4 linked regions of the Alligator mississippiensis genome follow. The protein of the gene in region 4 binds, or shares a complex with, the protein of the main gene of each other region. Links are inferred from orthologs where the notes say so. Each region holds a gene or a part of one and is shown on either strand. Other genes may lie near its edges.

The links.
Region 1: RUVBL1 (region 4) and BRD8 share a complex: the UniProt entries of both Homo sapiens proteins name them as parts of the nuA4-related complex. The link is inferred for Alligator mississippiensis from reciprocal best matches to the Homo sapiens genes RUVBL1 and BRD8.
Region 2: RUVBL1 (region 4) and EPC1 share a complex: the UniProt entries of both Homo sapiens proteins name them as parts of the nuA4-related complex. The link is inferred for Alligator mississippiensis from reciprocal best matches to the Homo sapiens genes RUVBL1 and EPC1.
Region 3: RUVBL1 (region 4) and PFDN2 share a complex: the UniProt entries of both Homo sapiens proteins name them as parts of the PAQosome complex. The link is inferred for Alligator mississippiensis from reciprocal best matches to the Homo sapiens genes RUVBL1 and PFDN2.

What each region holds. Positions count from the first base shown.
Region 1 is NC_081832.1:79,523,590-79,530,539, forward strand, and holds the start of BRD8 (bromodomain-containing protein 8), read right to left. Parts: upstream 3,036-6,950; 5' UTR 2,967-3,035; coding exon 2,948-2,966; intron 2,816-2,947; coding exon 2,719-2,815; intron 2,376-2,718; coding exon 2,306-2,375; intron 1,130-2,305; coding exon 1,080-1,129; intron 1-1,079. Other genes in the region: kinesin-like protein KIF20A, read left to right, coding at 3,338-3,505, 3,583-3,669, 3,751-3,870, 4,244-4,382, 4,483-4,670, 4,746-4,887, 5,047-5,241, 5,918-6,029 and 2 more. UniProt on the Homo sapiens protein: May act as a coactivator during transcriptional activation by hormone-activated nuclear receptors (NR). Isoform 2 stimulates transcriptional activation by AR/DHTR, ESR1/NR3A1, RXRA/NR2B1 and THRB/ERBA2.
Region 2 is NC_081828.1:193,084,975-193,092,463, reverse strand, and holds the start of EPC1 (enhancer of polycomb homolog 1), read left to right. Parts: upstream 1-4,477; 5' UTR 4,478-4,803; coding exon 4,804-4,956; intron 4,957-7,489. UniProt on the Homo sapiens protein: Component of the NuA4 histone acetyltransferase (HAT) complex, a multiprotein complex involved in transcriptional activation of select genes principally by acetylation of nucleosomal histones H4 and H2A.
Region 3 is NC_081838.1:20,597,485-20,604,294, forward strand, and holds PFDN2 (prefoldin subunit 2), read left to right. Parts: upstream 1-4,425; 5' UTR 4,426-4,442; coding exon 4,443-4,535; intron 4,536-5,356; coding exon 5,357-5,445; intron 5,446-5,546; coding exon 5,547-5,670; intron 5,671-5,945; coding exon 5,946-6,125; 3' UTR 6,126-6,272; downstream 6,273-6,810. Other genes in the region: NIT1 (deaminated glutathione amidase), read right to left, coding at 1,452-1,817, 2,441-2,566, 3,113-3,246, 3,360-4,011; KLHDC9 (kelch domain-containing protein 9), read right to left, coding at 6,777-6,810. UniProt on the Homo sapiens protein: Binds specifically to cytosolic chaperonin (c-CPN) and transfers target proteins to it. Binds to nascent polypeptide chain and promotes folding in an environment in which there are many competing pathways for nonnative proteins.
Region 4 is NC_081835.1:19,184,479-19,192,421, forward strand, and holds the start of RUVBL1 (ruvB-like 1), read right to left. Parts: upstream 3,016-7,943; 5' UTR 2,936-3,015; coding exon 2,795-2,935; intron 2,497-2,794; coding exon 2,410-2,496; intron 1,223-2,409; coding exon 1,090-1,222; intron 1-1,089. UniProt on the Homo sapiens protein: Possesses single-stranded DNA-stimulated ATPase and ATP-dependent DNA helicase (3' to 5') activity; hexamerization is thought to be critical for ATP hydrolysis and adjacent subunits in the ring-like structure contribute to the ATPase activity.

The sequences.
Region 1 (6,950 bases), on a different chromosome or scaffold from region 4:
AACAGACAATTCTACACTAACTTTTTCACAGAGCAAATGCCTTTCTCTACTCATACGAAACACGTGTGGTTACTAACCTAGGCCAGGAGTGTTTGCATTCCTGTCAAATTTTTACCCTCGTTAATTCAACTTTGGAAAAAGACTTTTACTATCCATGCCTACGTATAAATCCATCTCAGAAGCCCATGTCAGTCATTTATGCACAGCAGAGACATAAATACTACTTTCAAACACTACAAATTTCCTTAGGCATCAATTACCAACACCAGTGCCCAGATTCAGAGCAAGAGATGAACACTACAGCTTTCACTGGTACAAAGCTAGTGTCCAGGAGAAGAATAGGGTTTCATTTGCCCCTCCCTAAACAATCCTCAAATACTGCAGGTACATAAAAGGCAACATAAAATATTAGCTCTCCTGCTCATCATTCTTACTAGCTTCTATTCTCCCAAATTTTCAGTATTCTGAGCTGTAATTTTAAGCACACAATTTTTGTTTTATAAGTTTAATTTGTTTCATTTTAAGATCTGCTGTATAAAAAAGAACAAAGCTATTTTAGTATGCAATCTATGTCCTTTTAAAAGTAAGTTATTTTTAAAAAAGCAGCATTTTTATAGAAATTACCACACACTATGTTGCCTCTCTAGCTTCCTCAAACCAGCAAGCTGAGAGCTGTGCTGGGAACTGCAGCCTAGATGCCTCAATACCTGTAACCCACTGGTTCAGGGATGAGTACAGGAGTGGTGTGAATGAGCACTCAGGATAGCACAATGACCAGTTCTAGAACCACTTACATTTGAAATGGTCCAGTCCTTTGAGCTAAGTAACAAAACATACAAAAATGAGCAAAACGCTCTAGGTAATATTACCTACCCAGCATCTCCTGTTAGGTTAGGGGGTAATTTCAAACAACGGCCCTACTCTGCTCACTTTCCACACCCACACAGTGTGACCAGATTTCTCTGCCGTGCCTGCGCCTCCTTGCTCAGTAGCAGCCAATGCACTGTCTGATGCACTGATGACACCTCCGCCCCGCCAGAGGTACTGCAGACACCACATGCCTCAGCCTTTGCACTCACTTGGGAGTCTCTGTGGTCTCCAGGAGTTCCGAATACTGAGATGCGCAGTGCTAAGGAGAAACAGAGGGAGTCAGAGCACACAGAACAGTCAACACAGCCAATTCAGTTTATTGGCAAAGCTCTTGGGTTCCCTCCTCTAACAGCCAGGTAGCCTTTGAGCATGTTTTCATGTTTCCCATACTAGTACTGTAGCAGGAAAATACTGCCACAGTACTAGTATGGGAAGCTGCAGTGACTTCCCAAGCTGCTGTGTACCCAATGCATCTATAAGGAGGGTCAGCTAGCACCACAGAGTCAGCTCTGTAATGCCAAATAAAAACTAGGAAAGAATAAATTAAATTAAAAAGGTGGCCCCACAAATTAACACGTCCTCCCCTGGTTTTCCAAGATCCTGATCTTTGAACAGTCATACTCCAAAATATCAGTGCTAGTAATAGAACAGGTTGAATACAACATGATGCTTAAAATTACAAATCTAAACTATGATTTCAAATCAACAACCAAAAATCTTTGATTTAAATAATAAATTATAATCCCATTTTGCATTTATATCGTTTAGCTATTCGCACTGAATGAGCTGAATAAGTGAAATAGAAAAAACACCTCTTTTCATCTGCAGAAGACTTGTGCAACAGTTTGGCTGGCGCTGCAATAGACTCAAGGCCAGGTGCTCAGACAGTGACTTCCACAAATTTAGGGGTGTTGGACCTAGCCGCGTTGGTCTAAGGACACTGGAGGTCAAGGCTCGTTGGGTAAATCCAATATCACTCCACCCAGGAAGAGCACAGACCATCTGCGGATGCTTCCTCAGCCTGACAAAGGGTGTTTGTGCCCAAAAGCTGGCTTAGAAGAATGTTTCCAACTACTTGAGTTGGTCTGATGAGAGATATCGCATTTATCCAAAGACTCGTCTCCCACAAATTTAGCAATTTTGCTTTCTTTGAAGTTTGGTAGCATGCGTGTAATGTGTTAGCTCTGTCTAATACCCTTTTATCAAATTATATCAAGTTTAGACCATAAAACAATATACTTTGTTTTATTTTCACATATGCTTTCATATAAATTTTAGTTTTAGAGAAAAACGAAGCAAAGCTGTTTGACGTTTAAATTAAAAGTCTTATTTAACGTTTTAAGTGGCCACTTTTCTACCCCTCTACTTGGCCGAAACTGGAGTCCCTTGAGCAAGAGCTCCCCGGCAGCGGGAAGTGCCTCCGCCTCCCCCTTACCTTCTGAGAGAACCAGTCAGGTGGGCGGCCCGGCTCGGCAAAGGGCTTGATGGCCCTGCTGACTGACACCCTGCGGGGGAGAGAAGCGGGTGAAGCCCTGCCTCCTGCCCTCGCCAGCGCCCGCTCAAGCCACACCGGGCTGCTCCCGCCGAGCTGACGCCGCTGCGACGCCTGAACAGCTTCCCTGCTCGCGGCGGCGCCGCCTGGCCAGCGCCCAAGCGCAGCCCGAGCACGGCTGATGGCTCGTGCACCGGCCCGCGCAAACAGAGCCAGGATTCAAGTCCTGCTGAACGGCAGCGACAAGCCAGGCCCTCGCCTCGCTTGTCCCGCAGCCCGGCTCCGTCCCCGTCCCCATCCCCGCAGCCGGCACCACCGCGACGACGGCCCAACCCCCGCCGCGCCGCGGCTCTCACCAGTTCTGGTCGCCGCTCCGCATGACGGAGGAGGCCAGGCACAGCTTCTCGCGGACGGACCACGGCTCCGTGGGGCCGGCGCTCAGCAGCTTGTGCTCTGCGGGGACGGACGGGCCTCTCAGGGGCGGGCGGGCAGGGCCTGCCCCCCCTCGGCTCCCCCAGCCCCGCCCGCCAACTCCCCGCTCCGCCCCGGGCCGCCCCGGCCCGTCCCCGGCCCCACGGCACTCACTGCCCGTGCCCGCCGCCATCTTCGCCGCCAGGCCCGGGCCAGAGGCGGGGCCCACCGCAAAGGTCGCCGGGAAGCGGCGCGCGGGCTGCCGGGAAGGCTGCCCGGCCCCGCCCCCAGCCTCTCTCTGGCCGGCGGCTCGGAGCGCGCGCTGATTGGCCGGCGGCTCGGAGCGCGCGCTGATTGGCCGGCGGCTCGGAGCGCGCGGTTTGAAACCACAGCACCCGCTGCTGCCCCCGAGGTCAGCGTGGCCCGGCCCGGGCCGGGGGGAGGGGGCGGCTTCACTGCCTCAGCGCAGCCTGAAGGACGGCCGGCCGGCCGGCCGGGGGCCGAGGAGGCTGTTGCCGACCGACCCGCCCGCCCTCCCGCCCGCTCTCTCTCGCAGGCCCCGCCATGGCGCAGGCCGCGCTGTCGCCGCTCGCTCCCGCGCTGTTCTCGGACGAGGAGGCCGCGTCGTCCCCGGTGCTCGAGTCTACGGCGGCCGAGCTGGGCCGGGCCGCGCGCCGGGACCTGCTCTCCGACTTCTCCGCCATCTGGCCCGCCGCGGCGGGCGGCCCGCAGGTGAGGGGGGCGGGGCCGGGGCCGGGCGGCGCTCGCGGGCCTCACCCGGGGCCGTGTGTGACCCCCGCTCTCCGCAGGCGGACCCCGAGGACGGTGCCAGGCTGAGGGTGCACCTGCGGGTCCGGCCTCTGACGCCGGCCGAGCTGGAGAAGCGGGAGGACCAGGTGAGGCGGGGGCGGCGGCTTTGGGGGGGGAGGGCCCCCGCCCCCCGCCCCCCGCCCCGGCTGAGGCTCCGCACTCCTCAGGGCTGCGTCTGCATCGAGAGCCCGGAGACGCTGCTCCTGCGGGCGCCCGCGGACTCCTTCGCCATGCGCAGCACGGAGCGCGGCGTGGGCCAGGCGGCGCACAGGTTCACCTTCACGCAGGTAGGTGGGTGCCCGTGGGCGCGGCGCGGCACGGCGGCCCTGCCGTTCACGCAGCTTTGCGCTGACGGCACCGGGGCCGCCCGCACCAGCCCCTGGTGTCTCCCTTCCCCCGCCCCGTCCCTGCGTCCGTCTGCTGCGCGTTGTCTCGTGCTCGCGGAGCAGGAGCCCTCGTCTTGCTGTCTGTCCGGTCGGCGCCCGGCGCAGCTGGCCCCCGGGCACGTCTAGCGCTCCTAGGATTATGTGGATGGAGCAGCCTGGGCCGGCTCTGCCGGGGTTCGGGTGGGGTCGGAGGTGGGTGGCAGTCCAGGACGAGCAGGGCTGCAGCAGGCCGGAGAGGGAAGTCCCGCGCACGCCCCTGTGATCATGTTTGCAGATCTTCGGCCCAGACGTCGGACAAAAGACGTTCTTTGACGCGACCATGAAGGAGCTGGTGCAGGATGTGCTGAACGGGCAAAACTGGCTGGTTTATACCTATGGCATCACCAACTCGGGGAAGACTCACACCATCCAGGGTGAGCGAGGCATCAGGTGTTGGCATACCTGGTCTCCTCGGAGGGAAGAAGTGCTGCTGTGTTGTGACTGAGCTCTGCTCACTGCTGTCCTCTCCTCCAGGGAGCAGCAAGGACGGTGGGATTCTGCCCCGCTCCCTAGCACTCATCTTCAATAGCGTGGGAGAGCAGCTCTACCGAGCCATGGATCTCAAGCCCTCGCTCTCCAGCGAGGTGGCCTGGCTAGACAGCCGGCAGGTTCAACAAGAAGAGACCAAGAAGCTGGCCTTGCTGCACGGGGGATTACGGGAGGTGAGTGCTCTTCTCCGTCCGCTGGGGAAGGACGAGGGTGCCCTGCACCAGCCTCACGTTCTGCCTGTTTCCTAGGAGCTGCTGACTCCACTGAAGAGGAGCCACAACACCGAGTCCCAGCTCCAGGCTGCCACTAGCAGCAGTTATGACAGTGGAGTGGGTGGCCTCTCGTCTACCAGCCAATTTGCCAACCACTCCGAGAGCAGCCAGCTGGACAGTATGTCTGGGACCCTACTGTGCCGGGGGAAGGGCAAGTCCTGGGTAGGAGGGGATGAAGCACACTTTGGGCAGGGGTAGAAACTCTCCCTTGTCTCCTCCAATCTGCTGGGGCTGCTGCAATCCCTACCACCCCCTCTGATTCTCCTCTGAAACCTAGGGTCTCGCTGGGCTGATCCAGACTGTGTCTCGCTCCATGCCTCGGGAGACGTGCAGTTCTCCATATGGGTCTCCTTTTTTGAGATTTACAACGAACAGATCTACGACTTGCTAGAGCCGGCTCTGCCTGGCCCGAACCGCAAGAGGCAGACGCTGCGGCTGTGTGAAGACCCGAGCGGCAATCCCTATGTCAAAGGTAGAAACTGACCCAGCAGCACTCTGGGGAAGGACCCTGCTGGATCATTCTCTCTCCTTCAGGAGACAGTAGTAACCTGGGGTGGATAAGAGAAATGTCGAGTGGCCAGGAGCGCCCATGGAAAGCAAGCAGTAGTAGGGGGAGGGATACTGCTCTAGGGCAGCAGCTCTCAACCTTTTTTGTACCAGGACCCATTTGTGAACATCAGCGGCCAGTCCTGCCCCAGTGCCTCTCACTCTTGACCTGCTAGGCCCCAGCCCCCCTGTGTGTGGGTTATGGGGGGCGGAAGGGGGGTGGGGCATGGTGGGAGAGACCCAAACAGCTCCTCATAGGTTGAAACTCTGCAAGGGAAAAGCCACAATTTCCTGCATTTTTCTTGTGGGAAAAGGAGAATCCATTTTTTAAGTCTGTTTGTGACCCTTTTGAGATATTCTTGTGATCCACTTTTGGGTCTCGACCCATGGGTTGAGAAACGCTGCCCTAGGGCATTTTTATACACAGTCAGCAGTTCCCTTCTGCTGAACTTGGGCTGGTATCCCTCAGGAGGCCCAAACAATGCAGGGAAGTTCAGCTTGGCTGTTGGCAGCAGTGAAGCCTAGGATGCGGTAGGTAGCCAGGGCCTGGGAAGGCAAACCACGTCTATCTGTACCACTTTCCCACCTGTCTGCTCTTTCAGATCTGAACTGGATCCACGTCCAAGATGCCGACGAGGCCTGGAAGCTCCTGAAGCTGGGTCAGAAAAACCAGAGCTTTGCCAGCACTCACCTGAACCAGAACTCCAGCCGCAGGTTGGGGGCAGGGAGAGGAGAGGAATGGTCTCCAGCAGGTTGTGGCGGGGAGGGCTCATTTTATGGAACTAGGTGCTGGACTGGTGCCAGAGGTGGTCGTTGCATGTTCCATTCAAGTGTATTTTTTTTTTTTTGTCCTTGCTCCCTGCAGTCACAGCATCTTCTCCATCCGGATTCTTCACCTAACAGGGGGCAGCAGTGAGATGATCCCCAAAATCAGCGAGTGAGTGCTTGGGGATGATCCTGCCATGAGCAAGAGGGGGTTGGACCAGTGACCACCTGAGGGCCCTGCTAGCCTGGCTCTGATTCTCAGATTGCATGAGCTCTCCAGGCCATGGTGCTGTTATGGATCTTTGGGGGCCTTCAGAAGGTGGAACTCACTGCGGGGGTGGAGAGCAGCTGTTGTGCATGTGTCCCACTGCTCCCTTTGGAGAGAGCAACAAAGCTGCTCTGGGAAGCACAAAAACATCCTGCATCAGCATGAGCATGGCTGACTGACCCCATCCCTGCGTCCAAGGAGGCCCTCATGACAGCTGCTGCTGAGCAGCTTAACACTCATGTCTGGGATGCAGCAAGCTGGACATACTTGCTGGATCCGTGCTTGGAAAGCAGCACCCAACAGGGAATTTCTGGGTGAGCTTGGGCCCCTGACCTGAGCTTGGTAGTGTTGTTTGAAACAAACCTCCTAGAAGAGATGGCTGAGCTGTCCTGAGGCTCGAGTGGGTGCATGACAACACATGGACTGTAATCACAGCAGTGCCCTGGGTCTCTTCCAGACTGTCCCTGTGTGACCTTGCTGGCTCAGAGCGTTGCAAGGACCAGAAGAGCGGGGACCGAATGAAGGAGGCAAACAACATCAACACCTCTCTGCACACGCTAGGCCGCTGCATTGCTGCCCTGCGCCAGAACCAGCAGTCCAAG
Region 2 (7,489 bases), on a different chromosome or scaffold from region 4:
TTGAAATGGTGTACATTGAAATAACCCATACATTGAAATGGTGGGGCATAAAACAAAACCCTGAGGACTAAACGGTTTCAATTTGCCATCACATTACGGCACCTTTTTTTCTTGGAGCCAGAGCCTGCCTGCAGAGGGGAGGCAAGCTGGTAGCGGGCTGAGTGGTCCCTGAGCTGCAGGGGGGGGCACCCTGGTCCTTCCCTCCATGGTGGCAGCACCCCCCAGGGCTGCCTGGGCAGGCTGCTAGCAGGCCTGGTGCTGCCCCAGCTCGGAGGCAGCACCTGGCCTGGTCCAACTGTTCCCTGAGCCTGCCCAGGAAGCAGCGACCGGTGGGCTTCTAGCTTGGGGAACCGTTGAATTGGGCTGGGTGCTGCCTCTGAGTTGGGGCAGCACCCAGCCCACCTGGGAGGCCCCGGAGGGCACTGCTGCTGTAGAGGGAAGGACCAGGCCCCCTTGCAGCTCGGGGGCTGCTCAGCCTGCTGACAGCTTGCCCCCCAGCCATGGGCAGGCCCCAACGTTTCTCCCTTCAGCAGGCATCTACTGAAGGGAGAAACGGTGAGGAGCCTGATCCTTTTTTTCAGTGGAGCCTGCCTACCTCTTCCATGGCCCGGGGCAAGCTGCTGACACAGCGGTGGCCCAGGTGGTCACCCATTCTCCCCAAAGCTCAGGGGCTACTTAGCCCACTGGCAGCTCCTCTGGGGGAAAAAAAAAAAAAGGATCAGGCCCCTCGCCGCTTCTATCTTCAGTAGGTGCCTGCTGAAGGAAGAAGCAGCAAGGGGCCCAATCCTTTTTTCCTGCAGAGGCTGCCTGCAGCCAGTGACCGAGCTAACAGCTGCATCACTGCAATTTGCAAAGCTGCAAACTAAATTACATCTGGACAAAGTTTAGGTTGCAATGATACAGTCATTTAAACCCCCCAAACGTCTTGCATGTGTACACCGTGATGCTATTAAGCCACACAAAGTAACATTTTCGTCATGTGTACGTGTTAATGTCATCACATGTAGAAGCACCCTAGGAGCCAGTACTTAATTCCTCTCACAGGGGAGCACCCTGGTTGAGAATCCACATCACCCTGGTTGAGAATTACTAACCAGTACTGTCAGTGCCTCACAAATTTTTGACTCACTTTCCAAGTGACCCATATTTCACAATTGAAATCTAGGTCCTCTGAGTGCTGCACAGACATAGTCACTGGGAGACTTTCTATTTCAGATGGCTATGGTATGAGTAACAAATGCATCATTTCTCAATTTTAGCAAGAAAAAGCAAATGAGAACTTAGTGCCAGAGGTTCCTGGTCCTTCTGCTAAAGAACCTCTTGAAAAAGATACCAGTAATTTAATTTTCTGAATAGCAGGAAAACTATAGTATTACAATGATTTTTGAGCCATACAAAAATACCATACCATACAGAAAAGCCACAAGCTCCTGAGACCAGTGTTCTTAACTTTTTTAGACTCAAGGAACCCCTTGAAAATGTCTGCAGTTACTTAGTTCTCACTCAGTCCTTCCCTACCAAAAAATAACCTATTATTTATTGCTCTTTCTGCTGCAAAGAACCTGGAAAAACCACAACAGGTCAGAATGTTTTTAACACTCTGGTTTGCCATTTGAAATCTCTGGGTTTATCTTGTGAAGCATGTTTGCAAACCTAACAGTGGTAACATTATGTGGCCATGACACCTGTGAAAGGATCTCAAGGCACCCCAGGGTGCCTCAACATCCTAGTTGTGAATCCCTCATGAGGGCAGTTGTGGAGGTAAGGATTTTAAAATAGGTATTAGTTCAAAAATACAAAAAAACTCTCTTTCAATTCACATATTATACTGCTTTTATTTCTACTGTTTCTTAGCTAAAAACAAGCAGTATAGCACACTGAGATTAAATACTTTTTCCTACATGGTAAATTTTTGGCACAGATGTTTGTTTATTGCTACTTTTTAATTTGCTTTAGGTTGTGAATAACAAAGTAGGAAAAGTAAGATGAGCAGTGTATCCTCTTTGTATGATAATTAAATTAAGAAATTGTGAATTTATAAGGAAGCAGCTAGAGAGGGATCTACTTTTTGCCATTGTTAGGAGACAAAGTACTAAGAAAGATTGCTTAAGATATTCGGACTCTCTTTATAGTAATAATCACTACCAAAATGACTGCTCTCTTTCTATACTCTTACTGATCCTCAAACAGCAACCTATTTTGATTCTGCCGTAACTGAATCATAGAAAATTTGGGTTGGAAGGGACCTCAGGAGGTCATCTAGTTCAACCCCCTGCTCACAGCAGGACCATTCCCAACTAGATCATCCCAGCCAAGGCTTTGTCTAGCTGGATCTTAAAAACCTCCAAGGATGAAGGATGGAGAGTCCACAACCTCTCTGGGTAACCTGTCCCAGTGCTTCACCACCCTCCTCATGAAAAAGTTTTTCCTAATATCCAAACTAAACTTCCCTTGCTGCAACTTCAGATCATTGCTCCTTGTTCTGTCATCTGCCGCCACTGAGAACAGTTTAGCTCCATCCTCTCTGTAACTGCCCTTCAGATAGTTGAAGGCTGGTTGGTATTAAACTGCTGTCTCGGAACAGCTCTCCCCTAATTTCCCTGCCTGTAATTTGTTCAGAACAGAAATCCTGAATTTCAGAACTGTAGTCGCATCATTTTGGAATCTTATTTCGTCCAATATCACGGCTATCGTGAAAGTTATTTTTAAAAGGATAATAATATTCGGTAAATGTTTTTCAGTAACTTAAGAACCAAGACATTTTCTGCTTGGGGTGGAAGTTATTTTTCCTGAGATATAGCTGTTATTGGCAAAACACTAGAATTTGGGGCAAAAAAAATGTTTTAATTGACCCTGTGCGTACCTGCATGTTACAGGTTATAGCATGTTCTGCACTTCCTTGCGACTGCAAGGAACATGAGGACAATTCACATTTAAACCCAAAGAGCCAATCTTTCCACTGTGGCACGTTATTTACATTTTCTCTGCTTCCATTAATGGAATAAAAGAGTTGCATTTTATTAGCTCACCCTTTTACTTAGCTGCCAGGTATCTTGTTTGCAGCACAGTCTCACATCAGTGGACTTTGTTGAGATCATTCTATAAATTTTTAAATTTATATTGGTAACAGTATTGCACAGGTCCAAGTTAAAATTTAGAAGAAAAGCATTGAATACATTATAGCAGAGGCTTGCATACCAATAGGTCAGGCTGCAGCCTTACTAGCTTTGATGCCCGTACAAAGGGATTCACCTGCTTACAGCAAATTGTAGGGGTTATGTATTTCCACTTGAAAAAGGCTAACCAATTTTTTTTTCCCATTAGAAATATTGTCCAATTAAATAAACCTTCTTGTTCTAATAGTTCAAATAAAAGTCGAACTGTGTCAAAAGTTTTCAATATGTTCTCTTGAATAGAAAACCAGCACAAATATTCAAACATATTTAACAGTGAATTATAATCCCAGTTGTTAGATTCCTTATTTGGGACCTAGATAAACCAAATTACTTTGTTGTTCTGGAAAATCTTGGCTTTTTATGCAATTAAGAAAATATTTTTAGTTAATGAACACTTGCATTTAAAAGCTCAGGGTAAAAGCTATCATTTAATGCTGTACTAAAACTTAAATCAGGAAAGCACAAATTAATAGAATATTTTTCAGTTCACCTCCTTTATTTAAATATCGGTCAGAGAGAAGCGGGAGGCCGCACGCTTGTCTGAAATGAATGGTGACTACAGCTCGTGTTGTATTTCCACACACACTGAGTGACCCGCCCGCCCCACAGGTAAAACGAGACCTCTCCCAGGGATGCTGTGAAGCCCTCGGAGAGCCTCGGGAAGCCAGGCAGACCACAGCGCCGAGAGGGCTAGCGGAGGAGGCTCCAGACCTGCCTGGAAGACTCCTTTAAACCCAGCAGTAACATTTATTTTAATGCTTTGAATGTAATGCGTTATTACTGGAGGGATACGGTCAGGTTCATTTTCTTCCTCTCCCCCTGTCACAAATGGCGCATCGGCTTCTCAAGACGCTTCGCGGCTCACCTGTCCGCCAGGACACCCAGAGGTAAGAGCGGGACCGGGGACCCCGCCGCGGCCGGCCCGGGCGAGCAGCTGCCGCTGGAAGCCCCTGTCACTATCCCTGACCCTGGTGGGCCTGCGCCGGGGATGCCGCGGCTGTGGCGGGAGGGTCCCGGGTGCTGGCCGCGCGGGGCAGGGTCGGTGCAGCCCGACCCGCCTCGCCTCACATTTGTGGCCGCGGGGAGCGCGGGTGGCTGCGGCGGCGCCTCCCTGCCTTGCCCCGCGCTCAGGTGCGCGCGGCTCTGCCTCCCGGCGGCTGCGTGAGGGGCGCAGCGCCGCGGAGCCCCCGGGACACCCCGCCGGCTCGGCTCGGCTCGGGCCGGCCCGGCTCGTGCCCGCGCTCGGCGTGGCCGCGCGGCGCGCCCTCCTCCCCCGGGCGGCGCCGCGCCCGCGCCCTGCGCGATGCAGTGTGGGAATGGCCGTGGCGCTGGGGTTGGCTGAACGCGGCGGCCAGTCGAGGTTTCATGTCCGCCATGTTGGCCGTGGCGTATTGAGCGGAGCCGGAGCGGCGGCGGCGGAGGAGGAGACGAGCCAGCGCCCGGCCCAGCCGGCGCCGCCGGGCCCCGCGTCGGAGCGCGCCCCGCCCCGCCCCGCCGGGGGAGCCCCGTCCCTCCATGAGAGCGCTCGGCGGGGCCGGCTCCGCGCAGCAGCAGCAGCAGCAACAGCAGCGCCCCGCCGCGCCCGCGCCCCCCCGCCCCGCGCCAGCCGCCGCCATCGCCGCCCGACATGAGCAAACTGTCGTTCCGGGCCCGGGCGCTGGACGCGTCGAAGCCGCTGCCCGTCTTCCGCTGCGAGGACCTGCCCGACCTGGCCGAGTATGCCTCCATCAACCGCGCCGTGCCGCAGATGCCCACGGGCATGGAGAAGGAAGAGGAGTCGGTACGTGCTCCCCCCCACCCCGCGGCCGGGCCCCGCCATCCCTCCACCCTGCCTTCGCTGGGCCGGGCCCCCTCCTTCGCCTCTGCGCAAGCACAAAATGGCCGCCATCTTCTCCCCGCTCTCCCCGCCCGCGGGGCGCGGGGGAGGCAGGGCCCTGCCGCGGGGGGGGCAGCGCCGGCCGCTCGCCCCGTCCCCCGGGCCCGGCCGCGGCGGCCCCCGATCCCGCCCCGGCCGCGGCCGCCGGAGGGGCTCGCGCGGGCCCCGAAAGGCACAAAGGGGGTCACGTGACGCAGCGGGCGGCCGCCATTTTGTTGTCTGCGCTCCCTCCTCGGGCTGGGCCGGGCCGGGGCCGGGCTGCTGCCGCCGGGTGGCGCCGCCGAGCCGCGCGCGGGAGCAGGGCCCGAGATCCCACGTGGGGCAGCGGGCCCGGCCCGGCCCGGCCGCCCCTTGCGCCGCCGCCGCGTTACATAAGGGGTTGTGCCGCTCGCCGGCTTGGAGCTTCCTGGCGCAGCGCGGGGACGAGGTGCCGGCTGCCTCGCGCCGCGGCTCGACCGGAGCTTTCCACGTGTGAAGTGTGAAAGGGTCGTTGGCAACCCTCGGGATGGGGGGCGTGTTTGACTTTTCCCTGTGCGTTTGACAGCTCTTGTCGCTTTGGGTTCCCCCGGGACAGTGATTCCTCTCCTTCGCAGGAGGGGTTTGGGCCCCGACAAGGGGGTGCCTTCCTCCCCCACACGGGCAGCAGGACTGTGAACCCTGGAAGTGGCCCGTGGATTAGGGCTGCAGCTCACGCTTGCTACAAACTTCTGAATTTTAGTAGATTTTAAGTTGACAGGGCTGGTTTCAAGTGGTGGTCTGGGATGACGCTCTTGCTTGTGCTGCTGGCTCCTGATGCTCATTCAGTCCCTGTAAACTTGAAGGAAGTTCACCTTGGTTTTTAGGTGCCGCGTTCTGCACGCGCTGCTGTGCATTGACAGTTTCAAAAACTGACTGTGGACGTCTATGCAATGACTCTTAGTTTCTGAAAGAGCTGTGAAATGCCAGTTCTTTCTTATCTCTTCTTTGCTAGAATTATTTTCTCAAAGTTACAGTTTGAGGATTTATACTGTCGCATTTCCAGATCATATACAAACATTAATTATCGTTATTATCTCTTACTAAAACATCTTATCTTGAATGTAAGAAACATTTACTGAAAATGTTTGACACTGATGCTTCGTGGACGCTTCTTTTAGTAAAAGCCATTATTCAATTTTGCATTGAGTGGTTTTCACCGACTCAGATTAACTTTTGTGCATTAAGAATGGTTGGATACTGTGGGTGGCTTCAGTCATGTAGCTTTGCTTGAATCCAGATCTTCAGAATTTGATGGGTGAGGTAATCATCTTGATTTCCACTTGCATTAAAATTTAAGTAAAACAAGTTTTTATTATGATTACCATAGTAATTGGTCTGTCACATGTACTTTAATTGAAGTGTATATGATCAGTAAACTTTCATCTTTTGTCTGTCTTTTTTGCTGTAAGCTTAACAGATGTGAGCCTTTTGGGTAGAAAACTATTGTATTATGTTGTATTTAGGCTCAGGTGGGCTCACGCAAGGTTACCAGGTAGCCACTATCATAAACTTTACTGTTTGTAAAGAATCTGCTGCTATTTTAATTCTGATGTGATGAAGCATGGATTTTGCAAATAAGTTTGTTTTACACGTCTCTAAAATAAATGGCTAACTAGCAGTTTTAACAAAAATACCAATCTGTATGTGCTTCTGTTCTTAAAAGTGTTGTACTGAAGAAAGGTTACTTGTCACTGACAAATGCATCTGGTTAAACCCATTTAGAATTTCAGGGCCTTCTTAATAAATCAGTTGGTGTCCACTTTTTTTTCCTCTTCTTCCTGTTCCCTCCCTCTTAAAACTCTCTGCTACTTTTCTTTCCTGTGGTTATCTTTCTTTCAAAAAAACCCCAAACCATTTAGAGCATGCAGTCCCGGACTAGAGGCAAGACAATTCTGTGGACTGTTTCATTGTTTTTCCAAATTCCATAGGGGGGAATATCCACTTTATGTTGTGGAAAAGAGGGCATAAGTGAAATTGTGTGTATGTGCACATTTCTTCACCATTGACCACTGTGAACAATCACCTGTGGTGATATGCTAATAGTACTTTAACATCACTTCAAGTATGTGCTTTAATTTAAAAATCTGATTTTTTTTTTTTTTAAGAGTACCCTGTTTTCTGAAGGTGATTCATTTTTTTTTTTTTTTATTTTTTTTTTTTCTCCAGGGAAAGCAAAGAGACTTGATGTTCAAGCACTGCCTTTCAAGAACATTTAAATGCCCGTTTCATAGTTCTTGATGCACATTTCTCCGCTTACTTTTATCTGCCCCACCCCACCAAATAATTAGGGAAAGTAGGACTAATTTTATTAATAGCATGCGACTCTAGCAAAATGTTCTGAATGCATGGAGACAAAAATTACTAATCTTTCAGGATTAGTAATCAGGACCTGCATGCCTTTTTCCAGGTGTCTACAGCA
Region 3 (6,810 bases), on a different chromosome or scaffold from region 4:
GAGGGCTCCTTGTGCCCAGGAAGAGGCTTCCAAGCCTGGTACTGTGCCCTGGATGCAGCCCAGGGGCTCTGTCCTGTGGAGAAAGGGGGAGGGGGGGGAGGTGGGTTCCAGGCTGAGGCCCACCAGTGTGGCTGCTTCACTACCTCCAGGGTGTGGGATGCTGCCCACTGGCACTGAGGCCCCATCTGGCTGGCAGCACGGTGCAGGAGCTGTGCTGCTGGGTGCTTGCATTGGGGGTGGCTGCGTTCCCCTGAAGTCGGGCAGAGAGAGGGCAGGGCAAGGTGGAGGCAGCTGTCATGGGGAACAACCGACTTGGCCTAGGAATGGGCCAGGCCCGGAGCACCTGACAAAGTAGGTTGTTGTTGCCTTTGAAAGCTCCTGCCTCTGACCTGGTCTGACTCTTGGGTCTCTTGCTGGTGGTGGCTCTGGCCTGGGGAGCTGGGCTTGCTGCTTGCACACAGCTGTGCCAGCAGAGCCCTCCTATAACAAACAGCCCCAACTCTGGGCAACCTGCAAGGTGGTGATGATTGCTTTGCTCCCCGCAACCCCTGCCCAGCTCCACTGTGCTGCATAACAGGAGCTTTGTTCTCATCATCCCAACCCAGGTGGGGCTGAGCTCTCCAAATCTGCACTCAGGCCAAGCCAAGCTGGCCCTCCCTGGGGGCCTCAGACATAGTTTTAGGACTGGCTCAGACCCATTTTACAGATGAGGAAAGTAATTCCCCTGCATGTGAGCTTGGGTTGCATTTGAGCAAAGCCTTTAGGCCCAGGCTGGTGCAGCTGCTGCCTTGAGTCCTCCAACCCCCTCCCAGTAGGATGTTCCTGTTCCTCTGCTGCAGGCAGCATCTGAGCCATGGCTTTTACTGGCCAAGTGCCATGGTCCCTTTTACATGTGGAACAATTCACGTGCCAGCCCCTTCCCTGGCCAGGGAGTGCTGCCCTGGAGCTTGCACCATAAGACATGGCCAGGCTACAGCGCAGAGAAGAAAAGCTCACACCCATCCTGGACAGCTGCTCTGCTGGGACTTGAAGCAGGACCTGCCTGGTGCTCATGTGAAGGGGGGGGGGGTGAGCTGAGCCCTCCATGCCTGGAGAACTACACGTGCTTGATGGCAACTGTCCTGAGGCCTGCACCGCAACCAGGCGAGTGGCGCAGTCAGCAGCCAGAGCAGCCATTTCCTCACTCTTCGCATTTATTTTGTGGCTGTGAGGGGAAGGCAGCTCACCTAGGCCTAGTCTTGCGCCTGGGCCCTGTGCAAGGGCCATCCTGGCTGCTGGGGCAGCCACACTTGCTCCCTGCTCGGGGCAGGCTGAGGCAGCTATATGGCTGTCCTTTGCTGGAGCCTGGTGCCTGTTGGCAGTGGGAAAGGGGGGTGCAAGCCAGCTAGGCCCCCCCTAACTCCCTAGTTACTCCACCGAGGGAAACCTGATGGGCACAACCCACTCATGAACTAGCTAGTGATAGGTGGGGGCTCCTCCTGCTTCTCCTCTGTGCTGTCTCCAGGCTGGCAGGGGTCCGCCTCAGTTTCGACAGCCTCGTGGAGCAGCGGGGCCTTCTTCAGGATGCCGACACTGCCGTAGAGTTCGGGCCGGCGGTGAGCCCAGAGGGGCATCTCCTGGCGCAGGCGGTGCAGGTAGGGAAGGTCGATCTCGGCGTAGCACAGCCCTGGCCCCTCCTGGCACTGGGCAATGACACGGCCCCAGGGGTCCACCACCATGGTGTGGCCGTAGGATGAGCGATGCTCGTTGTGCTTCCCTGTCTGCGCTGCTGCAACCACGTAGCACTGGGTCTCTATGGCGCGGGCCCGGAGCAGCACCTGCAAGGGGCAGGGCTGGCCTGAGCCGCGGCGGGACTCCAGAGGGCCTGAAAACCAAGCGAGGGCACCTCTCCCCAGGCCAGGGAGGGGCTGTCAGCACTGGGAAACCCTCCCAGACCTGCCCACACAGTTGGGTGCTCCTTGGTGCCAGCCAGCCTGGGACAGCAGCATGCCTAGAGCCATGGGGAATGCCCCTGACCAGGCCCCAGAACTTGTTCTGCAGCCTCCTCCTCCAGGGCTGGGACTTTGCACCCAGACAAAGGGCATCTCCTCTGCTCTTGGGACTCGTGTTCCAATGAAAGCTGCGGAGAAACCAGCTCTGGAGCTGTTCCACATTTCCAAGCAGTAATGTAGTTGTCTGGATGTTGTTATGGCATGATTGTTCCTTTGCATGTGTGGCCTGCCTTAAGTTTATGGCATGATTCACCAGTTACCTGCATTATGTAATGTACGGCAGGGGCCTTGACGAGCTGCTACTGCCCCAAGGGGGAAGGGAAGCAGGGACTGCAGGATGGCTGATGTGGAGCTCTCAGCGCTGCAGCCCAGGACCTGCCATTGGGTGCAAACTGTGTGGGGAGTCCCTGGCCGGCACCAGTGCAGCCTGGCAGGGGTGCGGGTCTCACCTCCCAGTGGGCAGGCCCCGTGGTCTCGGTGAAGGCTGACGGGAAGGTGAGGATCTCGGCTCCCTCCCGGGCCAGTGCCAGGGAGATTTCAGGGAAGCGCAGATCGTAGCAGATGGCGAGGCCAACCTGGGGCAGGGGGGCAAGAAGATATCCCCACATGATGCAGAACAAGCCCCCAGCAACCCCATGGGGAGCCCAGCCCTGTGTCTGATGAGTCTGGGCCAGCCCTGGGTCCCCTCCCTGTAAGATGCTCAGCCCTGGGGCACTTGGGGAGGGAGGATGGGGTTTATGGTGGGGGCTGCTTGGGGTAAGAAGCTTTGGCCGGGGCAAAGTGGGGCCAGCCCAGCTCCCAGGCATGCAGCAGGTGCAAGGGAAAGGGATGAGATGGCCCCATAGGGAAACCTACTGCTGGTTGCGTGGGGTGAGGAGCACCCTAGCACCTGGCATGATTGGCCCTGGGGTCCCAGCCCCCCCCCCGTCCTTGGGGACTGAGCCCCTGGAGCAGCAGGGTGGGGGAGCCCCGTCGGGGCTCTGAGCTGCTGTCCTGAGCCCACGTGCCCAGCCTGGGCAGAAGCAGGGCTCCGCGGCGCGGGGCTGACGCTGCTCTTGGCCGCGCTCGGGCTGAAGCCGGGTCCCAGCTCCGCCGCTCGGGCTCCCCCTGCTCGGCCGTACCTTGCCCACGGACGTGCTGACCGGGGGCGCGATGTCGGAGCCCGGGTGGGTGTAGCTGCTCTCCTGCAGCGAGACGCGCCCCGCCAGCTCCACGTCGAAGAGGTGGATCTTCCTGTAGGCGGCCGCCATGGAGCCTGCAACGAGACGGGGGTCGAGGGGAGCCCGGGCGGGGGGGGCAGGGAGCGGAAAGCAGAGCGGTGGATGGGGGGGAGCAGACAGCAGAGCGGGGGTGGGGGGTGTCACAGACCGTCGGGCCCGATGAGCAGGTGGCAGTTGTAGGCGCGCCCCGCGCTGTCGCTGTGGCCGTGGCCGTGGCCCGGGCGGAGCTCGCGGAAGCCGCCGAGGGAGAGCCAGACGCGGCAGGCGCGGGCGAGGCGGGCGCAGCGCCGCACCAGGGCCCCGCGCAGCGGCTCGGCCGGGCCGGGCTGCCCGGGCGGCCCCAGCGCGGCGAAGGCCTCGGGCAGGCAGACGAGCCCCGCGCCGCGCGCCGCCGCCTCCCGCACCAGGCGCTCGCAGGCCGCCGCGTTACGCTCCGCGTCGTCCGTGGCCGTCAGCTGCACCGCCGCCACCAGCCTGCGCGGCCCGGGCCCGGGGGCCGCCATGGAGCCGGCGCCGCGCCGGGGGGGCCGCAGCAGCTCGCGGGACGCGGCCGGGGCCAGGCCCCAGCGACCTCCGGGCACCGGCGGCCGCGCCTGCTGCGGGCGCCCGCGACAAAGATGGCGCCCTAGGGGGGGCTTCAGCGCGACGCGCCCCTCACAAACATGGCGCCCCAGGGAGGGTTGCAAATAAACTCTCTTCAGGAGAAAGTAGCGCGACGTGCCCCCAACAAACATGGCGCCTGGGGGAGGGGCTTCAAGTTGGCTCAGGAACAGGCCGCGCGATGTGCCCCCAACAAGCATGGCGCCTGACGGGGATTTCGGTAGGCGTTGCTCCTGCGAAGACGGCGCGACGTGCCCCCAACAAAGATGGCGTCTGAAGGGGGTTGGGCACTTCGAGTAAATTCCAGAGAAAATAACGCGACGTGCCCCCAGCAAACATGGCGCCTGAGGGGGGATTTCGGTCGGCTTCGTTCCTGGGGGAAAACAATACAATGTGCCCCCAAGAAAGATGGCGACAGAGGAGCCGGGGGTGGGGCTTCAGTAAACTGTTCTCCGGGGGGGCGGTGCGATGCGTCCTCAACGAAGATGGCGCCTCAGGGGGCTGGGATTCAGAAACTCGGGAAAGCCGGCGCGATGTGCCCTTAACAAAGATGGTGTCTTTTTGGTTGTTCGTTTGTTTGTGTGTTTCCGGCGGGACGGCTCACGCCCCGGAAGTGGGAGCAGTGTAGCGCATGCGCAGAACGGGCGAGGAAATGGCGGATAGCGGGAAGGCTCGGCCTGGCCCGGCGTCTCCTGCTGCTGGCAAAACCTTGACGGCGGAGCAGGTGCCGGGCGGGGCGGGCAGAGCCACCGCACACGGCAGGGGGGCGGAGCTGGGCGCGTGCGGGGCAGGGTGTCGCACCCACGCGTAGGGCAGAGCGAGCACGTGCCGGACTGGACCGCTGTCGCTATGTGGGGTGCAGCGCTGGGTGGGACCACTGTTCGCATTGCGGGGGAGGGGACAGCGGGACCACTGTCCCAATGGGGGAGGGGGGGGCAGCACCGGGCGGGACCATTGTCCCTATGCGGGGGCAGCGCCGGGCCGGACCACAGTCCCTAATGGGGGGGAGGAGGCAGCGCCGGGCTGGACCACAGCCCATGTTGGGCGGGGGGGCAGCGCCGGGGGGGGACCACAGTCCGTATTGGGGGGGCAGCGCCGGGTGGGACCACAGTCCGTATTGGGGGGGCAGCGCCGGGTGGGACCACAGTCCGTATGGGGGGGGGGCAGCGCCGGGTGGGACCACAGTCCGTATGGGGGGGGGGCAGCGCCGGGTGGGACCACAGTCCGTATTGGGGGGGCAGCGCCGGGTGGGACCACAGTCCGTATGGGGGGGGGCAGCGCCGGGTGGGACCACAGTCCGTATGGGGGGGGGCAGCGCCGGGTGGGACCACAGTCCGTATGGGGGGGGGGCAGCGCCGCGTGGGACCACAGTCCGTATGGGGGGGGGGGCAGCGCCGGGTGGGACCACAGTCCGTATGGGGGGGGGGCAGCGCCGGGTGGGACCACAGTCCGTATGGGGGGGGGCAGCGCCAGGCGGGAGCACTGTCCAGCTGGGCGGGGGCGGCAGTGGGGCCGGCAGTGCCCCGGTGACATGTCCCCCCGCAGGTGGTGGCCGGCTTCAACCGGCTGCGACAGGAGCAGCGGGGCCTGGCCTCCAAGGCGGCGGAGCTGGAGATGGAGCTGAACGAGCACAGGTGGGCGCGGGGGGCGAGCGGGGTGTCCTTGGTGGCACGCAGGGCCGGGGGGCGCGTCACAGCCGCGGGACCTCACCCCCCGCACCCCCCTGTCCCGGCAGCCTGGTGATCGAGACGCTGCGCGAGGTGGACCCCACGCGGCGGTGCTACCGCATGGTGGGCGGCGTGCTGGTGGAGCGCACCGTCAAGGAGGTGCTGCCCGCGCTGGAGAGCAACAAGGAGCAGGTGGGAGACGCCGCCAGCCTCGCCGCGCTGGCACGGGGGGCAGGGGCTCACGGCTGGGCGGAGCCGGGATCCCCAGGGCTCGGCCCACGCACGTGGCCCCTCGCCGCCCTGCCCGATGCGCCAGGCAGGTCCTCGCCTCCCCCACGGCGCGTGTATCGTGCCCACGGCAGCCCCCAGCCGGCACGTCCTGATCCCCCGGGCTCTGCGTCGGGCCGTGCTGGGTCCTGCCACGTGCCCCCGCCCCGACTCCTCATCCTCCTCTCTCCGCCCGGCAGATCAACAAGATCATCGAGACGCTGAACCAGCAGCTGCAGACGAAGGGCCGGGAGCTGAACGAGTTCCGGGAGAAGCACAACATCCGCCTCATGGGCGAGGACGACCAGAAGCAGCCGCCGAAGGACAGCGCGGAGGGCAGTGGGCCCAAGGCCAGCTCTGCCGGCGTCCTGGTCTCCTAGGCGGCTCGCCCCATGCCCTGCCCCCTTCCCCAAGGACTGTCCACCCCCTTCCGGGGCCCTGGTTCTCTCCGCCCCCACCCAGCTTAACTTTATTACTTTGGCGTCTCATGTTGTATTTTTGTTAAATAAATTTGTTTTTGGTCGTGAGCTCAGTGCACAAGTGGTGGAAGGGGGGCTGGGGGTGTAGTTGGGGCAGGAGCTCGTCTGCCCCAGAGGGGACCCCTAGGTCCCCTCTGGTTCAATGCCAGCATAAGCCCTATGCGCACAGGGGCCCACGTCCTCATGGAAGGGAGGGCCCGGCTTGTCCGTCCGTCCATCCCGCAGGAGGGATTCAGGGTTCATCTCCTCCAGGGACTCTAGAGGCTCGGCTGGGCAAGGCCAAGCAGGAGAGGCCCCAGGCCTCGAAGCCAAGCGTGGAGAACGGCATTGCCGTCGGCCTCCCCACCATCACCGTGCCACGGAGAGGGGCAGTGAGGCGGGCACCGGGTGGTACCCCACAGAGGACAGAAAGGGGACAGATCCTGTTACACGGGGCCCTTTTATTTCCCATGCACCATGCCTGAGCCAAGGGCAGGCTGCACAGCTTGCAAGAGGAAGGCGGGTTGTCTGGGCCACACAGAGGATGCTGAGGAGATGGTGAGCGCTCTCTGCTCACTCGGGGACGTCCAGGACACAGACCTCGGGG
Region 4 (7,943 bases):
GTTAAATTATTGCTATCTCTATGGAATGACAACGTGGATGACACAGATTTCATTTGCTGGTTCAAATTTCCAAGTCTCTGACAGGGAACTTCATCACGTCAAGGAAATACTGCAGACTGCTCTCTCTCTGTCCCTAACTCCCCTCCCCCAAGCCCTAGCAACTTAACAGTAACTTTAACACTGCACACTATAGAAAGTCGCTTTCTTACAGAAATCAATAGGTCACTTTTGTTTGGTTGCTGCATACAGGTAGACAGGGGGAGAGAAAGAGAGAGAGATGTCTTCACCTTCCCACCACTAGATACCTAGTTGAAGTCCATAGCAAATCATGATACGAAAACAGGAAAGTTAACTGGTAATGTGTTCAATACTAAAAACAATTAGGCTATCTCCGTACAATCCATGTGCATGCACGGACCACTTCTGATGGACTTTTATCAGCTGTCAGCAGCAATCATAAAAGATTTTAGATACTCAATGAGGCTGTACTGCCAACTTAACTTTGTTCTTCCAGATAAATTGAAACAGAACATCTTAAGTAGAAAAAGCATACTAGAACTGAAAAGGAAGTTAACTGAATCCAATACTCATTTTTGTGGCTTAGACCAGTCTCTTATGCTCATCTGGAATAAGAAGCCAGGCTAAGTGTGGGATGCTTACGTTTGAGTTTTTGACAAGCATGAACTGAGAATATTAAAGGGAAAGAGAAAAGAGCATCTCCCTTTCTACAAAACCCTCCTGCAGAGCCTAGGTCAGTGCCAAGACTGTAAAGAAAGTTTCTTCCAGGTTTGTTCAACAGCCACTTACAAGATTGAGAAAAGATCCTGGAGGGCATGGAAAGAGAAGAGTGAAAGAAGACTCAGCTGGAATAACTAAGGTGGGGAGATGTGGAATTATCAGAAAAGCATCCTGATTCAACTAAGCTGGTAAGAATGTCCAACAGTGCTAAAAAGAGAATTATAAAAATCAGAACATGACAGTGGGGCCTGCTCAACAGGACTGCTCCAAAGAGCTGGTATTTTCTGCTTTCTTTTCGGAAAAGCCAAACAGCCACTTTACCCTCCCTCATGGTTTTTAACAAGTACTTACCAATCGCCCTTCTGAAGTTTTCCATCAGGACTTCTGTCTTTTTTATCTCAGTTGAGTAGACCTCGCTTCCAACCATAGGACAAAAGGGAACCTTACTTCCCAATTCTTGAGCAATAGCCAGCGCCAAAGCAGTCTATAAAAATTCAAAACATTTGAAGATCATACACATATATTTTCAGAAGAAGTAACAAGAACTTATGGAAAAAAAAGATTACTGCTCCACAAAGTTAAGAATAAATACTATTTTAATCTTCACAGCATTCCATTTTTACAGGTGGAGGAAAATACCAAGCATCCTTTCTAAAACTGAAGTAGGGGGTAAATCAATTCACCCCATGAACCATGCCTGCTGACGTTTGCATACTTCTCTGTGCTAGAGCACAGGGGCAGGGGAGTTGGGAATGATCATCCTTACTTACTTTAATATGGTCAGAAGGTGGATAGCAATACTCCACTTCTCAAGATCTGCAACTGAAAGGCTCTCCAGATGTTTTCTAAACATTGAAAGCTCATGGAGGAAATTTAGGCTGGAGATTTGGAACAGCTTCCTCACTATGAGGATGGTTAAGCATTGGAAACAGGCCACTGAGAGAGGCATTGCTGTCCCTAGAAATTGTCACGAGCAGGTTAGATGGACACTGGAATGGTTTACATGGAAATGATCTTCCCTTGAGCAGGGGGATGGACTAGATAACCTCATGAGGTCCCTTCCAGTTCTACTTTCTGATAAACCTAATTCAATGCCCCAAATCTCTAACAAAATAGGAATCCAACAAGTGAGAAAATGGACGGGGAGATGGAGAGACCAGAAACCCTTAATTCTTCTTAAAAATAAAAATCCTCAAGCTTTTCTCCCTTGTTTCTTACATGCAGAAACAAACCTGTGCATATACACACGCACACACACACACGGGTTTTTACCCAAGAAACTTAAGAGCACCAACACGAAGAATTTTAAAACTCCGGATAGTGCGGAGAAATCATTTTACCATCTCTCATGAAAATGCTTAAACCTTAAGTAGTGCAAAAAAAGTTAATACTTTTAAAACCCCAATCCTGGGGCTTCCTCCAAAAAAAACAGACTTCATAAGACTATGATACCGTCATTTTCCTGCATTAGTGTTATGCGGCTGATACCTAGATGAACTATTGGTTTCTGCCAAAATACGTATCGCAGGGAGATGTGATGTCAAGCAGTGATCAGCCGCAAAGGCCACCCTGGTTCCAGTCCAACATGACTGCCGGGGAAGCTGCCTGGTGAAACGGTGCCTCAGAAACAGTCGCGGCGGGGAAGCCTTTTGGCCCCAAGCAAAACGATACCTTGCCAGTGCCGGGCGGTCCTGCCAACAGCACGGCTCTGCCGGCCATCTTCTTGCTTTTGATCAATTCCACTATCACACCGCAGGCCTGAAAAAAGGAAGACATGTCCGTAGTTACCAGCCGGTCAGAAACGTGCCTTCAAATGCGTAGAACGCAGAGAGGCAGCACGGGTGTTATTGCAGGGACAGGGAAACTGAGGCCAGGGCAGAGGAGGGGGCTGCCCCAGAGCTCACCATGTTGCCTGGGGGCAGCGGGGAGCGGGGGGGGGGGACGTGTGGCGGGGGGGGGGGGTCCGTCCCACGGGGGAGGAACAGGGAGGGGTTCATCGCACGGGGTGGGGGAGGGGCAGGGTGCATCCCGCGGGGGAGGGGCGGGGGTCGCGGACCTCGCGCGCGTTCTCCTGCCCCACGAGCCCGGCGCTCGCGGGCTTGGCGGCGCCGCTGTCGTCCAGGCCGAGCCCCTTGACATGGCTGTGCGCTGCGATGCGCTGCGTCTTCGACGTGCTCTTCACCTCCTCGATCTTCATGGCGACGGCGGAGACAGCAGCGGCAGCAGCGGTTCCCACGCGGCCTGCGCGTTACCTAGGCGGCCGGCGCCACGGCCCCGGCCCCGCCCCCCGCGCCGCCATTGGGTCCCTCTGCGCCAGCGCAGCTGCTAATTGGGGCTTGCTCGTGTCTGTCACAGCGCGGGGTTGCTTTTCTTTAGAACCCGCCCATCCACTTCCGCTTGTGCGACGTTCAAAAGGCTCTGCACGGGTGGCCGGGGAGGAAGGTTCCGCGGGGTGTTAGAGGGTGTTGTCTCAGCCGTGGTGATCGCTCTGTGTCCTGTTGGCTGGAGGGGAAGTGAGGTCAGGGAAGGTCCATGCAGCTTTCAGTGGCAGTGACTGAGAGTCCCTCTCTTCTGTCCCCAAGCAGTCACTTTGGTTCCCAGGCTCAGCTGCTGTATGCAGCAGGGGTGGTAAACCTGCCTTCCTGGCTCCCGTCCCCTGGAAGGGCCTTTGCTGTGTGGTTGTTGCCTTCTTTGATTTTTTTTTTTTAATTCCTCACTGTGTTTTCATGATGGTTTATCCTTGGCACTGGGAAACTAATCATCCTGCTGCTCCTCTCCCTCTTCAAACTGAGTGAAGAGCTGAGGTATTGACCTGACCCAGCAATGGTCCCAGTAGGCGATGCCATGTGGATGCCAAATCCAGCCCCTTTCTGGAGCTTGGTGTTAGCAACTAAAGGAAGAACAGAAGTGGGGCTTTGTTTCTGTCCACTTACAACATAAGAACTGCCGTCTTCATCCTGTCGTGCAGGAGGGCTGCCCTGATGCTGCTGTCCAACAAGGGGGACTCCTGTGACCTGAGGAACTGGCACCCAGTCTCGCTCCCCTCTTCTGACTAAGGTCATAGCAAAAGTCATCTTGCTGTGCCTGAGTCTGTGCAGGCAGATGTGATTCACCTCAACCAGATATACGGTTGCAGGGTGCTCCATCTTCGACAGCCAGTACCTGGTGTGAGACCTCCTTGAGCTTGCTCGCAGGGACAGCCTGTCATTTGTCCTCCTTTCCCTTGATCAGGAGAAGGTGTTTGACAGGGTGGATCACAGATACCTCACAGGCACGCTGAGGACATTTGGCTCTGGTCTCCACTTCGTGCAGTTTCCCCAGGTGCTGTATGCCTTCACAGAGTGTATGGTCAGGCTCGATAGGACACTGACAGAGTCCACAGCTGGGAGAGCATCAAGGTTGTCCACTGCCAGCCCAGCTCTATGTCATTTCCTTTGAGCTGTTCCTCTGCCTCCTGCACAAGCAGGTGGTAGTGCTGGTGCTCAAGGAGCTGGCCATGCGAGTGGTTCTGTCACCATATGCCACCAACATAAGCCTCACCGTCCAAGACCCGGGTGACCTGGTGCATCTGGAGACCTGCAGATCCACCTACTCAGCTGCCGCCTCTGTCTGGGTCAACTGGGTCAAGAGCTCTGGTCTGATAGTGAGTGACAGGTGGCAGGTGAGCTTGCTCCCACCTGCGCTGCAGTACATCCAACAGAGTGTGGGCTCGCTGCTCCATCTGGAGAGCTGACACAAGTTGGAGGCACAAGCTGGAGAACTGACACAAGCTGGAGGTCAGGGTGTTTGAGCAGCTGCAGGCATGGGCAGGACTGTTACAGTGTCTCTCCCTTCATGGGAGGACACTAATCCTCAACCAGCTAGTCCTGTTCGTTCTTTGGCATCGTTTCAACACCCTGGCCATGCCCCCAGATCTCCTGGCCAGTCTCCAGAGATAGGTACTAGGTTTCTTCTGGCTGGGACATCACTGGTTCTCTGGAGGTATCCTGAGCCTCCCCATGCAGGAGGACATGAATGGCCTGGTCTGCCTCTGCAACCAGGTCCACACCTGTATTCAGGCCTTGAGGAGGCTGCTGTACAGTGCAAATAGCCAGGCAATGTGGTGCCTGATCAGCTGCGTTTTCCTCCACCACCTCTGAGGGTACTGGTGTGACTGACAGCTCTTCTCCCTGTGAGATCTCCCCAAGCAGGACCTGGAATAGCTGCCAGACTTCTCCCAGTACCTCCTTAGGGCCTGGAGGCTGTTGATCTGGGTCCCCAGACACAGTCACCCAGACCATTGACCTCCTCACTGAGCCGCTGCTGAAAAACCTACAGCTGATGGTGCTGGTGACAGAGGTGCCCTGGGTGCACTGGAGGATGGTCCTGGCCAACATCACTCATATTGGAGACCTTGGGTGGGGCCAGTTTTGTTCAATGTCTTCGTCAATGACCTGGAAGATGGCATAGAGTGCACCCTCAGCAAATTTGCAGATGTCATCAAGCTGCAGGGAGTAGTAGATATGCTAGAGGGTAGGGCTAGGATTCAGAGTGAAATAGACAAATTGGAGGATTGAGCCAAAAGGAATCTCATGAGGTTCAGCAAGGACGAGTGCAAAATCCTGCATTTAGGATGAAACAATCCTGTGCACTAGTATAGGCTGGGGGCTGCCTGGTTGGGCAGCAGCTCTGCAGAAAAGGACCTGGGGATTACAGTGGACAATAAGCTGAATATGAGTCAGCAGTGTGCCCTCATTGCCAAGAAGGCTAACAGCATACTGGGCTGCACTGGTAGGTGTATTGCCAGTAGGTCAAGGGAAATGATTATTCCCCTCTGTTCAGCATGGCTGAGGCCACATCTGGAGTACTGTGTTCAGTTTTGGGCCCCCCACTACAGAAAGGATTCATATATGTTTGGGTCGGAAGGGATGTTAGCAGGTCATTGAGTCCAACCCCCTGCCCTGGGCACAAAAGAGTGCTGGGGTCAGATGACCCCAGCCAGGTGCATGTCTAGCCTCCTCTTAAAGACCCCCAAGGTAGGGGAGAGCACCGCCTCCCTTGGAAGCTCATTCTAGTTTCTGGCAATCCTGACAGTAAAGAAGTTTTTCCTGATGTCTAACCTAAATCTGCTCTCCTGGATGCAGACAAATTGGAGAGTCCAGTGGAGGGTGACAAAAATGGTGAGAGGGCTGGGGGACATGATTTATGAGGAAAGATTGGGGGAACTGAGCTTATTTAATCTAGAGAAGGAGACTGAAGGAGACGTAATAGCAGTCTTCAACTACCTGAAGTGGGGTTTGAAAGAGGATGGACCTAGACTATTCTCAGGGGTGGCAGAAGACAGAACAAGAAGCAAGTCTCAGGTTGCAGCAAGGGACATTTAGGTTAGATATTAGGAAGAATTTTCTCACTAAGAGGGTAGTAAAACACTGGAATGGGTTACCCAGAGAAGTGGTGGAAACTCCATCTTTGGGGGTTCCCATACCCCAGCTAGACAAAGCTTTGGCTGGAATGATCTAGTTGGGGCTGATCCCGCTTGAGCAGAGTGTTGGACTAGATGACCTGAGGTCCCTTCCAACCCTAACTTTCTATAATTCTACCTTCTGCACTATGCTAGGCAGGGGTGGGCAGATCCTTCTGCGCTGGCCCAGTGCATAGAGCTACCCACACTCTGTGCTCCCTTTCGCTTATTCCAGGAGGTAGAGGCTGCACTACCACCCACTGCCTTCACCTGTATTGACAGGTCCTGTATGAGGGCAGTCCCCATCCCCCAGCACTCTGGAGCTAGTTTTGGGGCACTGCCTCAGCAGAGTCCACAACACCCACCACCCAACTATTGTAGCAGTCTGGGGGATATCAAGCCAGTCCACGTACAAACAACTGACTGCTGCCAGCTTTACATGGTCATGCTGTGCTCAATCCATCGTCGTGTCCTCATGTCCTGCCCTGACAACAAGTGGTGGGACACTCTAGGTGATGGCACGGGCAGGGCTGAGGGTCCTCAGTGGACAAGTCTGTATTCCACCTTGATCCCGTAAGTCACCGGGGACCTCAGTTGGCAGCTTCTCCATGGAGCCATCACCATGTATTTGGTGCACTTTACAGACACCCCTGACACCTGCCCCTTTTGCCAGCAGAGGGAGACCCGGGCACATGCCTACCTCGAGTGTGCCAGGTTGCAGCCCCTCTTCCGCCTCCTTTAGAACCTCCTGCTGAGGTTCTGGCTGCATTTTTTGTTATGCACTCTGTGTCCATGGCCCCACTAAGCTCTGGGATATCTTGGTCAACTTCCTCCTGGCTCTGGCCAAGCTGGCCATATACAAGACCAAGAAGAAGGCTCTGGCTGGGGGAAACCTAAGTGAGTGTGGGGCTGTCTTCCTGTCACTCCTCTGCTCACATCTCTTGGCATTTTAACTGGTTGGCATCCACAGGCTTCCTTGACTCATTAAGGGGGCAGTGGGCACTGGCTGGGGTGCTCTGCTTGGTGTCCCCTTCTGGATCCCTTGTTATTAACCAATAAACTCACTCCCCTTCTTGTTTTTCTTTTTATTTGCCCCAAGAAATGAGTTTATCAGTGGCCTCCCCCATTAAGAGATGCTTATAGTTTCATAGTTTCATAGTTGCTAGGGGCTGAAAGGGACCTTGCAGATCATCAGGTCCACCCTCCCTGCACATGGACAGGAAAGTGGGCATCAAGACGTTTTTTGAAGATTGCCATGGTGGATGACTACCACTTCTGGGGGGAGCCTGTTCCAAACCCTGGATGCTCAGGTTGTAAAGAAGTTTTTCCTTATGTTGAGCCTGCAGCACTCTTCAATCAGTTTATGCCCATTATTTCTTGTCCTTCCCTGAGGAGCCTTGGTGAATAGATGCTCCCCCAAACCCTGATGTATGCCCCTGATATACTTATAGGCTGCAACCAGTCCCCTCTGAGTCTTCTCTTCTTCAAGCTGAACAATCCCAAGTCCCTCAGCCTCTTCTCATACGTCTTGTTCTCCAGGCCTCTAGTCATGCATGCGGCCATTCTCTGGACTCTCTCAAGCTTCTCCACATCCTTCTTGAAGTGTGGCATCAGAACTGGACACAGTTCTCCAGTTGTGGTCTCACCATGGCCAAGTAGAGTGGGAGGATAACATCCTTTGCCTTGCTCAAGATGCCACAGTAGATGCATGCCAGCATTTGGTTAGCTCTGCCAGCTACAGCATCACATTGGTGGCATGAACGCT